2 linked regions of the Stegostoma tigrinum genome follow. The protein of the gene in region 1 purifies or fractionates together with the protein of each later gene. This does not show direct contact. Links are inferred from orthologs where the notes say so. Each region holds a gene or a part of one and is shown on either strand. Other genes may lie near its edges.

Region 1 (7,325 bases):
AAAGGTCAACTGTAAGTGTGCTAACTTGACAGTATTGAAATCAGTCAACAATTTAAACTTCAGCATTCGAAATAAATGGTGTAACAAAAAGAAAATGAGTTTGCCAATTTGAACTTTCTTTACTAACTTCTGACCAAGTGAAAGATATGATTATTTTAACAAACCTATGTGTGGCGCCACTAAATACTGAGATTACATCACAGATTAACCGGTTCAGAGTACACCTACAAACTTTGTTTTATTTCAGCTAAAACAGAAACTCGTTAAGGATCATGGGAACGTAGTCTCCATTGTAAACTGTTAAACTATTTGTCAACTTCAGCAAATTAAGTGGTCTCACACTTGAATGCCTTCCATAATTTAAACTGTTCTGGAATTGTGGGATTTCTGCCTTTTGGGATATTATTTGGTATCACCAGTTCCTTGACATTGACTGCGACCAACCCTCTCACTAAGTGTTTTGAGTGAAGCACGCTGCTTGCAACTTTTCTCCTACTTGGTGAAAAATCTTAATTTTTGAACCCACTGCAGCCCCACCACAAAAGACTTCAAATTTCCAACTTAATGCCTATGACCACCATTGACTGCTGAAACCCTTCTTTTGCTCTTTGCCACTCACAGACTCAATTATCCAATACTCACCTTACCAGCCTATGTTTCAGATACTGCAACTGATTCATCTAGAACAAAATTCTCTCCCACATAGGTCCCACTCACCTAACTTTTGCAAACCTGCACTGACTCAATGTCTCAAACTTAACATTTTCATTTTCCATGACTGACTATTCTGATATGACACCAATCTTTAAAATTCTATTAAGTTCGACAAATCCTTTGCAAATTACTTAAGCCATACAAGCACACCCCTTCACCCCCCAAGACTCCTGTATTCCGCCAACTCTGGTTTCTACGCCCCTGATTTTCATGGGTATATGGCTGCCCTCAGCTGCAAGACCACAAGGTCTGGAATTCCTTTCTCAAGGCAACCGTCTAGGTTATAATGCTAACAGTCCCAATTAAAGAGCCATAAAGTGATACTAAGAAAGGTCCAAGATCTTGGTCAGTGTTGAAATGCAATTCCTTTCTCATTGAGCAGGATACTATTGCAACGAACAGCTGTACTTTTTATGGAATGACATAGAAAAAAGATGACAGGCTATGACCTGAAATATTAACTCTGTTTCTACGTTCACAGATATTGCCAGTCCTGTTGAGTATTTCCAACATTTGTTGTTTTTATTTCAGGAAGTGAATGAGATTTGAGGACCTTTATGGAGGGACATCCGTTGCTTAGAGTCTGGTCTGGACAGGAGAAGGAACAGTTAGTATCAGTAGAGCAACTTCACTCCAATTGCTCAATGGGTGTTAATTGGGGGAGTGTTAAGACCTTGGAACTCCACAAATTTGGTTGATATCAAGAGACAGGGAAATGATGCACAAATATCATTCCTTCATTTTTCATTTGGAAAAAGTGTGCTTCCAACATTCTACGCATCTTATTACAAGTGGAAAGTGTTGTGGACATCAAATGTTTTAAAAACCTAATACTGAAGAATTCACAATACTAGTGACAGGTACTGCATTGGTAGAATTGTCACCACTTTGTGACATAAAACTGAGGCCCATTCGCATGGTCTCATACTAAGATCCAAAAGGTACTACTGAAGAGGAGTAGGGGTACCCAGCTAACATTTACTGCTAAAAATACTGAAAACAGTTTGAATTTTCTCTAGCATTTGCATCACCATATTGTGATATCACAATGGATAGGTATTTTTAAATCAACCTCTATGGGGATGTTATGACACACAAAGGCAAAATACCATACATACTGGAAATCTAAGACTAACACAGAATGCTAGAGAAGCTCAATGGTTTGGTATCATCTGTGGAGACAGAAAGAGTTAACTTTGGGTCAAAATATTAACTATGTTATGACACACCTCTTGAACCCAAGCATTCTAGCCCATACATAATGACACTTCCAACTGGACAACAGCAGATATACTTGGAGAGCAATTTCTGAAGTAGTCAGCCAAAAAAAGAATACATTACATTCTACAAAAGAAGCTCCAAAAAAACAGATTTCCCAAATTGATTCTCAGTGTAGATTAAAATAATTTAACGTTTCATCAATATAATTAATCAGTGTTACGAGTGATCAGATTTCCTCAATGACACAACAACAGCAGTTAAGGGGTACAGCGACTCCAAACCACCCAAATGTTCTTACAAAGCCCTTCGCCCTCGCTTCCCGATAATGGTTCAAAGACAAAGTTACTCACGACGCATGAAAAGATTTAAAAAAAAACAAATTATATCCCTTTATTTTGGCCGGGGGAGGGGTAGGAGAGGGGGGGTGGTACGTTGAACATCAGTGAAGTGGGGGGGGGGGGGGTAGTATAATCAGTAGATGTGAAACTGCAATAAAAACCCCACTATTGATCCCTGTCCCCTCCAAAGGGGCTAGGGGCCCTAAACAGCAGTCGGTGCAGCTTTCATGCGAGGCGGGGGTTACAGCTCACAGCCCAAAAGCGAAGCTACCTCTAGTACAACGGCAATAGTCACCGCTGACTACATGTGCCCACCTCGCTCGATCTCTTACCTAAGGCAGTGCTGAGGCCCGGCCTCACACTACACCAAACTCGGCTCCACAGTCAAACAGAAAATCTCCCTCTCGCCCCGACCGTCCAGCTTAAGCTGCTTCCCCACAAACAATCGACTAGAGCGGTCCCAAAAGTCACAGCAGGATCCGAAGAAACAAGGGGAAAGAGTATGAAGGCGGACCAACAAACTCAACTGCTCACGATCTTCCTCTCTGTCCTTCTCCCTCTCCGACACCGGCACTTTCACTCCAAACTTCCCAAACGATTCAGACAGGGCGCCGCCATTTTGAACAAACCACCCCCACACGGACGACGAGTAAACGCACATGCGCATCTGATATCGCTCTTCCCCATTCCTCCACCCTCTAACAACAGGAACGCCAAGTCGTGATCTGATTGACGGCCAGCTCCAGCCCATTGAAAGCCAGCCTTGGCGGGAGGCTGTATCGTCATTCATCCAATCGACGGTATCCGCGACGGGAATGGGGCAGGGTACATTGCAAGGGCTGGGGGCGGGTTTTGACGGTTCAAACTGGTCGGGTGGGGCGGCATGGCTCGTGATTGATGACACTTGGAACCAATGGACATGAGAGCCTCTTGTAGGTGAACCAATCACGGTGGCAGCGGGGTGGGCGCTTTGGGTCGCTATCAAGTTAGGCTGAGAGGTAGCATCAAGCTTGACTGACTGGGGTGATTTTTTCAATCTGCTGTGACTGCCGGTTTATTTTTCCTTCAACAGACAACTGCGGTGTTCAGGTTATTCAGTTGCTCTCTTCCTTCAGCTTTTTTTTTATTGCGATTGGCTTCTATCGGTGTGAAATGCCGTTGGTACCTAGCTTATTTTGCGCGCTTGTGTCTGAGTGTAAGGACATGAGTGAGTGATGGAGCAGGCAGGGCCTGTAGAGCCTTAACCCTTTATTTGGCTGTTGCATACTTTTTTTTAGTGTCAGGGATCATGTAAACCCTCATCTTCACGAAGTCCAAAGTCAGACTTTGGGCATTGCAGGGTTAAAGAGCCAGGTTTAATCAGGACGAGGTAGACGTTTTTTTTAAAATTGGCTTTTAAGCAAATTATTAAACGTTTGTTCTATATAACTTCATTTGGGAGAAGTAGACGTTTGGCGAGAGTGGTTCGATTTTAAGCACGAATGGACAGTGCCACTGACGGCACTGTCTGATCCGTAGCAAGGTATTAAGTTGCTGTAATTTAAATTATGAGTTTTTGCTTGGTGTGTAGCCATCTCGCCGCGGATCAAACGGTGTGGGCTACAAGTTCCACTCGAGAGACTTGAGGTTTGACCATAACCTGGGCTAACGCTCTAATGCCATTAGACAAGGAGTGCGACACGTTTAGAGAGAATTTTTCAGATCAAAAAATTGTACTGTTAGGGGCAGTAATGGCCTAGTGGTTTTATTGCTGGATTGTTAATCCAGAGACCCAGATAATCTTCTGGGGACGAATCAGATGGTGGGATTTGAATTCAATAAAATATCTGGAATTAAGAATCTAATGACCGTGTTGTTGAATGTTGGGGAAAAACTCATTTGGTTCACCAATGTTCTTTAGGCAAGAAAACTGCCATCCTTATCTTGTCTGGCCTGCATGTAACTCCAGATGCACAGCAATGTGGTTGACTCTTAACTGCCCTCATGGGCAATAAATGCTGCCGAGCCAGCGATGCCGTCATTTCATAAATGAAGAAAGAATAAAGACTGTTGTGAACAATAGAAGGATGTTCTCTGTGGTGTCATGGCCAATGTTTATCCGTCAGGCAACATAACAAACCAAATAAACTGACCACTAGCATTGTTCTTTGTGGCATGGTTTACTCTGAACAAATCAGTTGTTATATTTCTTGCTTGACAACTGTTCTTGTAGTCACCTGACCCACTATTCAAGATGCTATCTCTTCAGGCTAGTGAGTTTTTACCTTGGGTCTTTATGCGTCATTCCTGTCATATAGATCAAAGTACTTGGTGGATGAATTGTCACTATTCTGAATGAATAATGGAAAACCCTCACAATCATTGAGGTCAATGATGTTGTACTTTAAGGAGAGCTTCAGAGTGTCCATGAAATATTTTCTTTGGCCTCCATTGGATTATTTCTCATTTGAACATTGAGGAAACAGGAACTGGTGGGGAGGTGATTTTTGTTCGCAGTGATCAGTCTGACAAAATTGATTTTGCTGGGGCTTTGTCTGTTTATTGATAGACCTAGTTCCAGTAGGATACTAGTATTAATGAGATGGTTTTCCTAAATCCAGAAAATCCACCTTCATAGTGGCAATATGTACGCCAAGGGTCACTGCAAAACAGGAATGTTCCCAACATCACAACAGAAATGACCACATTTCAAAAGTAGTTCATTAGCTGTAAAGTGCTTTGAGATGTCTTGAAGCCCTGAAATTTGCTATTTAGGTGCAAGTTTTCTTTTAATGTTTGGTGATTTACACTGCTCTGTGTCTTCTGGAGTGTTGACTGATGCAGCAGCCAACAATTTAATTAATTTTTTAAAAATGGTGTTGGTTGATAAAGGAATAGTTTTTTGAATACCAGCAGACAATCCTTGATTTAGGAAAGTTCTGTTACTTTATTCAAAGTTACAGTATTTCTTGATGGTAGTGATAAATTTACAATAATGCTTTCAACTGATTACTTTTACCAGTCTGGACAACTCTCTTTATGTAGTAGAGAGAGATAATGGGAACTGCAGATGCTGGAGAATCCAACCAAATAAAATGTGAGGCTGGATGAACACAGCAGGCCAAGCAGCATCTCAGGAGCACAAAAGCTGATGTTTCAGGCCTAGACCCTTCTTCAGAAAAAAAAAATTCTGATGAAGGGTCTAGGCCCAAAAGCATCTTTTGTGCTCCTAAGATGCTGCTTGGCCTGCTGTGTTCATCCAGCCCCACACTTTTTATTATCTTGGATTCTCCAGCATCTGCAGTTCCCATTGTATCTGAAACATGTATATGAAAGGCTAGTTGGGCATATTTTGTATAGCTGGACACTTTGATTTCATAGAACTTTAGGGTATGGATTTGAAGGTGTTACTGTCCACTGTTTTACTTTTCTAGGAGGACTTGCCTCAGTGACTAGAATGTGTAAATTGCATGAATGCAATCTCTTTTTCTTCTTCTCTTTTTCTTTTAGTATAACTAACCCCTGATCCATTGCTCATGGTAAGCCAAAGAATGAACTGGTTTTGATTCATAGATGTTTAGTGCACAGGAGGTCACATGGCCCGGTATGTCAATGCCAGCCTTGTTTGGAGGCAGTCCAAAACAAAATTTTTTTTTCTCCTGTATATTGTAAAAGAAATCATAAAAAGCATGAGGGGTATTTGCTCAGATATTCCGGAAGTTAATACTTGATTGAGATGTTATAGGCCATTGTGACAATTCAGGATTTGCCCTTTTTTTTCATTGTGGGAGAGATTGCAGAACAAGACAGATGGAGAATGCGAAAAACTTGATTCGTATTTGTAAGAGAAGATTATCCAACTATCCTAGAAAAAGGAAATAAAGGAGCATTGTTTGAAAAGTTTCAACTCTCCTACATCTAGCTTAGATGTGCTTAATTTGATTCAACGCTTATGGACTAAAACAATTTTTTAGAAAGGACAATGTTCCACAAGTGAATTTAAAAAACAATGTCAGTCATGTGGGGGAAAGCACAGTGGCTCAGTGGTTAGCGCTGCTGCCTCACAGACCCTGGGACCTGGGTTCAATTCTAGCCTCGGTCAACTGTTTGCATGGGGTTTTACTGTTCTCGCCATGTCTGTGTGGGTTTCCATTGGGTGCCCTGGATTCCTCCTACAGTCCGAAGATATGCAAGTTAGGTGGATTGGCCATGTTCAATTTCCAATAGTGTTCAGGGAAATCCAGGTTAGTTGCATTATCTACTAGTACTGAAGTGCAGGTTTAAGGAATGAGTTTGGATGGAATGCTCTTTGACGGGTTGGTGTGCACTTCTTGGGCTGAATGGGGTTCTATGATTATTATGTCGTGATGTAATTCATATTTCCACTGGAAATATGGGTTTTAATTCCTCCACAGATGTTTTGTAGAATTTGATTTCAGTTAATAAATCTGCTTCACTGATACCCCTTAAGGAAGGAAGTCTGCTGTCCTAACATTGTCTGGCCTGTATGTGACTTGATAGCTACAGCAATGTGGTTTACTTTCAACTACCCCACTTGAAGTGACTGAGTAGGTCACTCAGTTCACGGGCAATTAGAAATGGGTAACAAATGCTGGACTTGTTGATAACACCCATATCCCAAGAAATACTAAAGGAAAGAAAACAAAATTGCCCAGACAGATTCTCCAAAAAAAAACTCACATTTATAACAGTGATGTTTTTTCCTGAAAGATAACCCATAGTACTTCAAAGCTAATTTATCTTCTTTGGAAGTGTAGTTACTGTTATTATGTAGGAAACAGGCAGTCAATTTACATGTAGCTAGGTTCTAATCATTTCCAAATAATTTGTTTTTAGCTGTGATAATGTGTGCTGAATCCAAGACTGAGTGTAAGTTATTATTATGTGTAATAATGTTTCACTTATAAATGTTCTGCAATGACATTTGGAGGAGTGAGTTTTCTTGTTTTTTTTCCGTCATGTTTTAGCATTGTATGTTTCAGTAAATGGTTGCTATTTACCAAGCAGAGAAGTTCTTTATAACTAGTTTTAAAATCTTCCCACACCCTGCTT
Region 2 (7,230 bases), on another chromosome or scaffold:
CCGATGTGCTGGCAGTGATTAGTTTATACAGAACCTCTGAGTGGGGATACAGCCATGAGGCTTCGAGGGTATGTTGTTCACAAGAATAAGTCAGTGATGAGGATACTTTGGGAGCGACGAAGGCTGAGAGGAAATTTGATAGAAATTATCAAAACTTTCAAATAATTTTCTGATTGGGTAATGGTCAGCCTGGGAGAAAGAAAAGTCACCAATGGTGGGGACTATTGGAAATGGATTGGCTGTAGTGATTATCACCATGGTCTCTCGCTGACGAGGATGGCTCTGTCCCACTCTCAGGGTGAGTCCAAATGTTGCTGTACAGGCCGATGTGGCTACCGCAGGCTCCGTTACACTTGGGGCAGAAGGTGGTCGCGGGACATTGGCGTGCTCCTTACACTGTTTCTGCTTTTTCCTAACATCAACTCTCAAGGTGCTCAATGCCTTCCCAGATGGTCCTCCTCCACTTTAGGCCATCTTGGACCAGTGATTCCCAGGCATCTGCAGGAACGCCACACTTTGCCAGTGAGGCCTTGAGACTGTCACCGAAGCACTTCCTCTGTCCACCTGGGACTCACTCATTGTTTTGAAACTGGGAGTAGAGCACCTGTTTGGGGAGTTGCATGTCGATCATGCAGACAACATGCCCAGACCAATGGAGCTGATCAAGGGTGGTCTGTGGTTCGAGGCTGGTGATGTTGGCCTGGTCAATGATGCTGGGTTGCTGCATCTTTCTTCCCAGCAGATTCACAACATCTTGCACTGGTAGTGTAGATGGTATTGTGCCAGTGCCTTGAGGTGTCTGCTATAGACAGTCCATGTCTCAGAGCCATGTAGAAGGGCAGAATCCACCACAGATCTGTATATCATGTAGGAGGGTGGGATCTAGCACAGCTCTGTATACCATGATCTCGGTGTTGGATCTGATGTTGTTGTTCTCGAACACCTTTTTCTCAGGTGGTCAAAGGCTGCAATAACACACTGCAGGTGGTGCTGGGTCACTGCATCAGTCGCTGCTTTGGCTGACAGGACATTCCCGAGATATTGGAAAGGGTCAGTGTTCTCTCAGGCTTCCCTGTGGACTTGATGATCAGGGGTTTGCTCCATATTGCCAGGCCTGGTTGATGAAGGACCTTTGTCTTGTGGATGTTTTGGGGTGAGACCCCGTATGCCCCCGTCACGGTGCTGGAGTACATACACTGTGCATACACACGCACCATCCACATAGTGCAGCTCAGTGCCACTGGGTGGGCTGTGGCTTTGGTTTTTGTTTGCAGGTGGTGGAGGTGAAATAACTTCCCGCTACTTCTGTAGGTTAGCTCCATGTCAGCAGGGAGTTTGTTGGTGGTCAGGTGAAGCATTGCAGCGAGACAGATCGGGGACAGTGCTGGGGTGATGACACACATTGGTCTGAATGGGGAATGGGTTGGAAGTAGAGCCATTTGTCATTACCATGGCTTCCAGATTGTCGTGAAGCAGCTGAAGGATGGTGACTTCATGGTGCAACCAAAGCAGAGAAGGGCGCTCCATATGCTTCCTGACTGACAGTGTCAAAGGTCTTTGTAAGGTCAGAGGGCCACGTGCAGGATAGGTTCTTTTCTCTGCATTTCTCCTTCAGCTGGTGCATGGGAAAATCACATCTGTTCTGCTCCTCCGTGGCCAAAAGCCACGCTGCAATTCTGGGAGGAGCTTCTCAGTCACAGGGAGGAGGTGGTTGAGGTGGATGTTGGCGATGACTTTTCCAACAGGCGGGAGCAGGGAGATTCCCCTGTGGTTACCACAGTCAGACTGTTTCCTTTCATGAAAATACTCATGACTGTGGCATTGTGGAGCTCTCCCAGGGTGCTCTCCTCCTTGTGGATAAGGTAGAAAGGGCCTGAAGGCAGCAGCAGGATCGTTTTGCTTCTACACCTCAATGTCTCAGTCAGGATATCATCTACTCTAGTAACCTTGTTGCTCTTAAACTGTTCTTAAACTTAGACCCTGTCTACTTCATGCCAGGCTGGGGCGTTGGTCAGCTTATGGTGTGCAGCTGTCGGATTGACGACAGAGCCCTGGTTGAGGAGGTGTCTGAAGTGGCAGTGGTGAACAGAGCATCTGAACAGAACGGATTAGGACAAACAGTTTCCACTCATAAAATAATCAAGAAAAAGAGGTTACAAACAGTAAAGAGACATCTTGTGAGGCAACGAAACAATACCTCTCACAGCAACAGCTTCAAAATGTGATGCGTTGAGGCAGGTTCAATTCAGGCTCTCAATTTCCACAGAAACAATACACAGGGACACGGACACGAGAACTCAGTTAAAATGTCAGAGACAAAAACTGAAGCTGTGGAATACCTCCGGATACAACGCATCATCCTCCGACACTTCCGCCATCTACAATCCAACCCCACCACCCGAGACATTTTTCCATCCCCTCCCCTGTCTGCTTTCCGGAGAGACCACTCTCTCCGTGACTCCCTTGTTCGCTCCACACTGCCCTCCAACCCCACCACACCCGGCACCTTCCCCTGCAACCGCAGGAAATGCTACACTTGCCCCCACACCTCCTCCCTCACCCCTATCCCAGGCCCCAAGATGACATTCCACATTAAGCAGAGGTTCACCTGCACATCTGCCAATGTGATATACTGTATCCATTGTACCCGGTGTGGCTTCCTCTACATTGGGGAAACCAAGCGGAGGCTTGGGGACCGCTTTGCAGAACACCTCCACTCGGTTTGCAATAAACAACTGCACCTCCCAGTCGCAAACCATTTCCACTCCCCCTCCCATTCTTCAGACGACATGTCCATCCTGGGCCTCTTACAGTGCCACAACGATGCCACCCGAAGGTTGCAGGAACAGCAACTCATATTCCGCCTGGGAACCCTGCAGCCATATGGTATCAATGTGGACTTCACCAGTTTCATAATCTCCCCTTCCCCTACTGCATTCCTAAACCAGCCCAGTTCGTCCCCTCCCCCCACTGCACCACACAACCAGCCCAGCTCTTCCCCCCCATCCACTGCATCCCAAAACCATTCCAACCTGTCTCTGCCTCCCTAACCGGTTCTTCCTCTCACCCATCCCTTCCTCCCACCTCAAGCCGCACCTCCATCTCCTACCTACTAACCCACCCCCTTGACCTGTCCGTCTTCCCTGGACTGACCTATCCCCTCCCTACCTCCCCACCTATACTCTCCTCTCCACCTATCTTCTTTTCTCTCCATCTTTGGTCCGCCTCCCCCTCTCTCCCTATTTATTCCAGTTCCCTCTCCCCATCCCCTTCTCTGATGAAGGGTCTAGGCCGAAAACGTCGGCTTTTATGCTCCTGAGATGCTGCTTGGCCTGCTGTGTTCATCCAGCCTCACATTTTATTATCTGTGGAAAAGCTCAGCAGGTCCAGCATCACCTGTGAAGATAAAATCAAAGTTAACATCTCAGGTCCAGTGACCATTGCAAACAGAAGTTCTGAGAAGAATGTGGTAATGGTAACTGCAGATGCTGGAGAATCCAAGATAATAAAATGTGAGGCTGGATGAACACAGCAGGCCCATTCTGAGAAGAATGTTCCCAGGAAGTGTCGCTGGACCTGAAACTTTAACTCAGGCTTTTTCTTCACAGGTGCTGCCAGACCTGCTGAGCTTTTCCAGCAACTTCTGTTTTTGTTCCTGATTGACAGCATCTGCAGTTCTTTTGGTTTTTAAAATGTCAGAGAGCACGTGTGGTTATAATGGGGCAAACGGCCTCCTGCAATTCTGATTATAAATAAACATTGTTGCTTGACCTCCTCGTGCATTTCCTGTTATTGGTTTTGCAATTATAATTTGAAGCAGCAGTGATGGTATTTATATCTAAACTGCTGCCCCAATGGGCCTCAGGGACATTGCATTCATCCAGAAAAGTTTAGAGAAAAATTTAACATATTCCTGCAGTAATTACACCGCCGCCAATCGGCCAAATCGTGACATTACAGTGGACAGCGCCCTCCAGTACACATGGGGAAGTAGAGCGCCACCACGAGTTAGGAAAGAGGTACTGCAGCCCCACTGTATACCGCTCGCGCTCACGAGGGGCCACTACAACCACGCAGAGCGCCCTCCTGTGTCCAGGAGGAGTTACTGCCATCGCTCACTGCGCCACACAGTGTCCAGAAGGGGTACTACAGCAACACAGCGCGCCCTCTTGCGGTTTGGTGAGAGAAGTGGGCGGTCCGGAAGTAGATGTTTGACCTCTGGAGGTTCTGAGTTTCCGGCGAAGCGATACTGAAGCCGCAATGGCGTCGGTGTTTTCAAAGCTGAGGGCAGGCTGCTGCCAGTAATCCGCCTCCATCGGCCTGAGTATCGGCCAGAGCAGGCTCAAGGGTTTCTAACCTTGTTGCAGAATGTCTTATAAACACGCTGATAGAGCCATTTGCTGTGAATCAAAGCGATATTACTGATAAAAACTTAGATACCAGATACAAGTTTTTTACGTTCGCTAATCCAATATTCTGGACTCCAACTGAACTCAAAACGAAATAAAATAAGTTTTTAATGTTTGGAAACGGCGTCTATCCTGTAAAAACTATCTTCAGGAGCCAAAACATTGCCAAGAAAATCCAAGCCCCAGTTCTTGTGCCTTAAAGTAAAGACCTGAAGTTGCTGTCAGTGGCAGCCCAGCAGAGTAAAGATTATGGAAGAAAAGGAACATTTGGGGTGAATGTTCAGACAGACGATCAGGATCAGGGCCGCCTTCAGCACACTTTCACTTTAATTTTCTTGTTTTTTTTGTGGGATGCCGGGCTCGGAGAGAGCCGGGACTAAGGCGGATGGAAGCAGTGGCCTGGGCTCCCTGCAGCCTGGCCCCAGCAGCGGCAGAGAGCGGCGCAAAGCAGCGTCCAGGCACAAGCGACACCGAACCAAGCACAGCAGGGACTCGCCGGGGGCGGCCACACAGACACCACTCACCAAGGTGAAGTCTTTGGTCGAGTACGATGACATCAGCTCGGAATCGGACACTTTCTCCGAGGTCACCGTCCGTTCCGAACGGAGAGAGAAAGAGGACCGGGTGAGTTCAGACAAAGCGGTCAAAGTTCACAAACATCACCACCATCACACACACAAACGGGTTAAGGAGCACCATAAGATGAAGGAGGCTGAACGGGTTAAAGATCGAGGGAGAAGGCCAGAATCTGGCAAGTCCAGGAGTAGCAGAGAAAGGACTTCTTCCAAAAGGCAGGTGATGGAGGATGAAGACAGTGGGAAGAAAGAGCGAACGTCGCCTCTCTCAAAGCACAGCAGCAAGGAGTCAAAATCTGCTAAATCGTACAAAGAGAGAGCAAAGAAAGAGGAGCGGTCAACACACAAGGAAAGAACTAAGAGTCAAAAGAAAAATAAGGAGACACCACGAGGCTATCGAACGTCTCCCAGTCCAAAAAAGAAAAGTGGGAGCCCAAGACGCAAGCATTCTTCAAGTCCAAATAGGGAAGACAGCCCCATTGGGCCATATGGCAAAGGATATGATGCCAGTCCTGTTTATAGGTCACGGACTTCTAGTAATTATGATGGTTACTGGCGAAGTCCTGGTGATTCCAGCCGGAAACAATCGGCCAGCCCCCCCTATTATGGTTCCAGGGAGCCCACAGCCTACCAAAGTGGTTATAACATGAGATCACCAAGTCCTTACGGCAGGAGACAACGGTCTTCAAGCCCCTACAGCAGGCATCGATCCCCCAGCTACGACAGACACAGCAGCTCGTATGACTACAGTGGAAGGTCGCCAAGTCCATACAGCAGGAGACGCTCAGTAAGCCCATACAGCACCAGGCGGTCGTTCAGTCAGAGCCCATTGGCCAGGTACAGTTTAAACTTTACTTATTTCTTAAGGTGCAAAACAGTACTGTGAGCTCATATTAGTGTATTGCTGTGTGAAATGTTTTATCTGTTTATAGTATGAGAGGGTTGGGAGTCAGAGAAGGGGTATTTGACAACTTTAAGCCCCCTTAGCCAATAGGTCACAACCAGGGAATGAGACAGCACAGCACTTCCTGAATGGCAGCTTTCAGGCCTAGTTCTGAGTCTTGCTTCAGACTTGCTACTTGGAGGCAGCAGTTTCTGTTCACTTTAATAAGACAGGGGCAACTTGAGGTGGTGGGAAGTTGATAGTGAATTAAGGATTTATTTTAGGGAAAGTGTTGAATGATTTAGTTTTGTTCAGACAGTTTGAGTGGCTCTGACATCAGGTTCATAATGACCCTCTGCTCCTCGGACTGTTCCAAATCTGGCAGCAGGAGGATATGGGAAATGCCTGAATAACTGTTGGCTGTAAGGCTGAGTGCTGGAGTTTACAGAAGGAGCTATTCTGAGAAATGATCCAAATTGGAGAGCAAAGTTGGAATGTAAGGGGCCCTGGTGAAAACAGTGTGGTGAAGGCTTACATGATGAGATCCTTCTGCAGCCCAGTGCTAATGATCAGCTGTGTGAATGCCAGGAATCGAGCCAGAGTATGGGCACACTTCAGCTATTGTCACCTCCACGTTTCCGTGGGCTAGGCCTAAATATTCACAAGGGGAAGTGGCAGGGTTCCATACATGATGGGGAGTTCCGCACAGATTGTGTACACGACAAGGCCCCAGTACATCATGAGGGTCCTACAGGTGAGGGGTCACTACCCAACCGAGCAATGATGTTAAGCTATAACTTAGCCAGTTATGCCTTTTCTCTTAATTGCTTCAGTTCTTGTGGATGCTGCAAAGGACACCACACTCCCCAGATACTCATTTAGTCACCTGACACCTGTATTTACAAGCACTTTCTGTAATATCACAAACCTGTGTACAAATAACAAGTGTTGAGGCTGTCAGTATGAACCAATTTACCTGGAAGTGAATACAGGCTTTAGCAAAGAGCAGAATGAGGGTAAATGCTGCTGGAGGTAAAAATCTTGATTGTAAACATTGAAATGAAGACATTGGCATCAGAGGAGCAGGAAAGCTGACGTTTCAGGCCTAGACCCTTCTTCAGAAATCTGCTCCTGTTTCCTGTTCCTATGACACTGCTTGGCCTGCAGTGTTCATCCAGCTCTACACCTTGTTATCTCAGGTTCTCCACCAACTGCAGTTCCTATTAGCTCTGAAACATCCTTGTAAATCTTTTCTGAACCCTTTTTGAGTGTCACAACATTCTTCCTGTAGCAGGGAAAGCAGATCTGAATGCAGTATTCCAAAGTGGCCTAACCGATGTCCTGTACAGTCATAACGTGACCT

Evidence for each region. The genes of interacting proteins can lie anywhere in the genome.
Region 2: the proteins of ccnk (region 1) and cdk12 purify together in Homo sapiens (affinity purification with mass spectrometry; 6 studies listed by BioGRID and IntAct, with this or other methods). This does not show direct contact. The link is inferred for Stegostoma tigrinum from reciprocal best matches to the Homo sapiens genes CCNK and CDK12.

The regions. Positions count from the first base shown.
Region 1 is NC_081363.1:18,537,632-18,544,956, forward strand, and holds the start of ccnk (cyclin-K), read right to left. Parts: upstream 3,007-7,325; 5' UTR 2,941-3,006; coding exon 2,801-2,940; exon of another isoform or gene 2,606-2,800; intron 1-2,605. UniProt on the Homo sapiens protein: Regulatory subunit of cyclin-dependent kinases that mediates activation of target kinases.
Region 2 is NC_081384.1:540,071-547,300, forward strand, and holds the start of cdk12 (cyclin-dependent kinase 12), read left to right. Parts: upstream 1-4,212; 5' UTR 4,213-4,760; coding exon 4,761-5,821; intron 5,822-7,230. UniProt on the Homo sapiens protein: Cyclin-dependent kinase that phosphorylates the C-terminal domain (CTD) of the large subunit of RNA polymerase II (POLR2A), thereby acting as a key regulator of transcription elongation.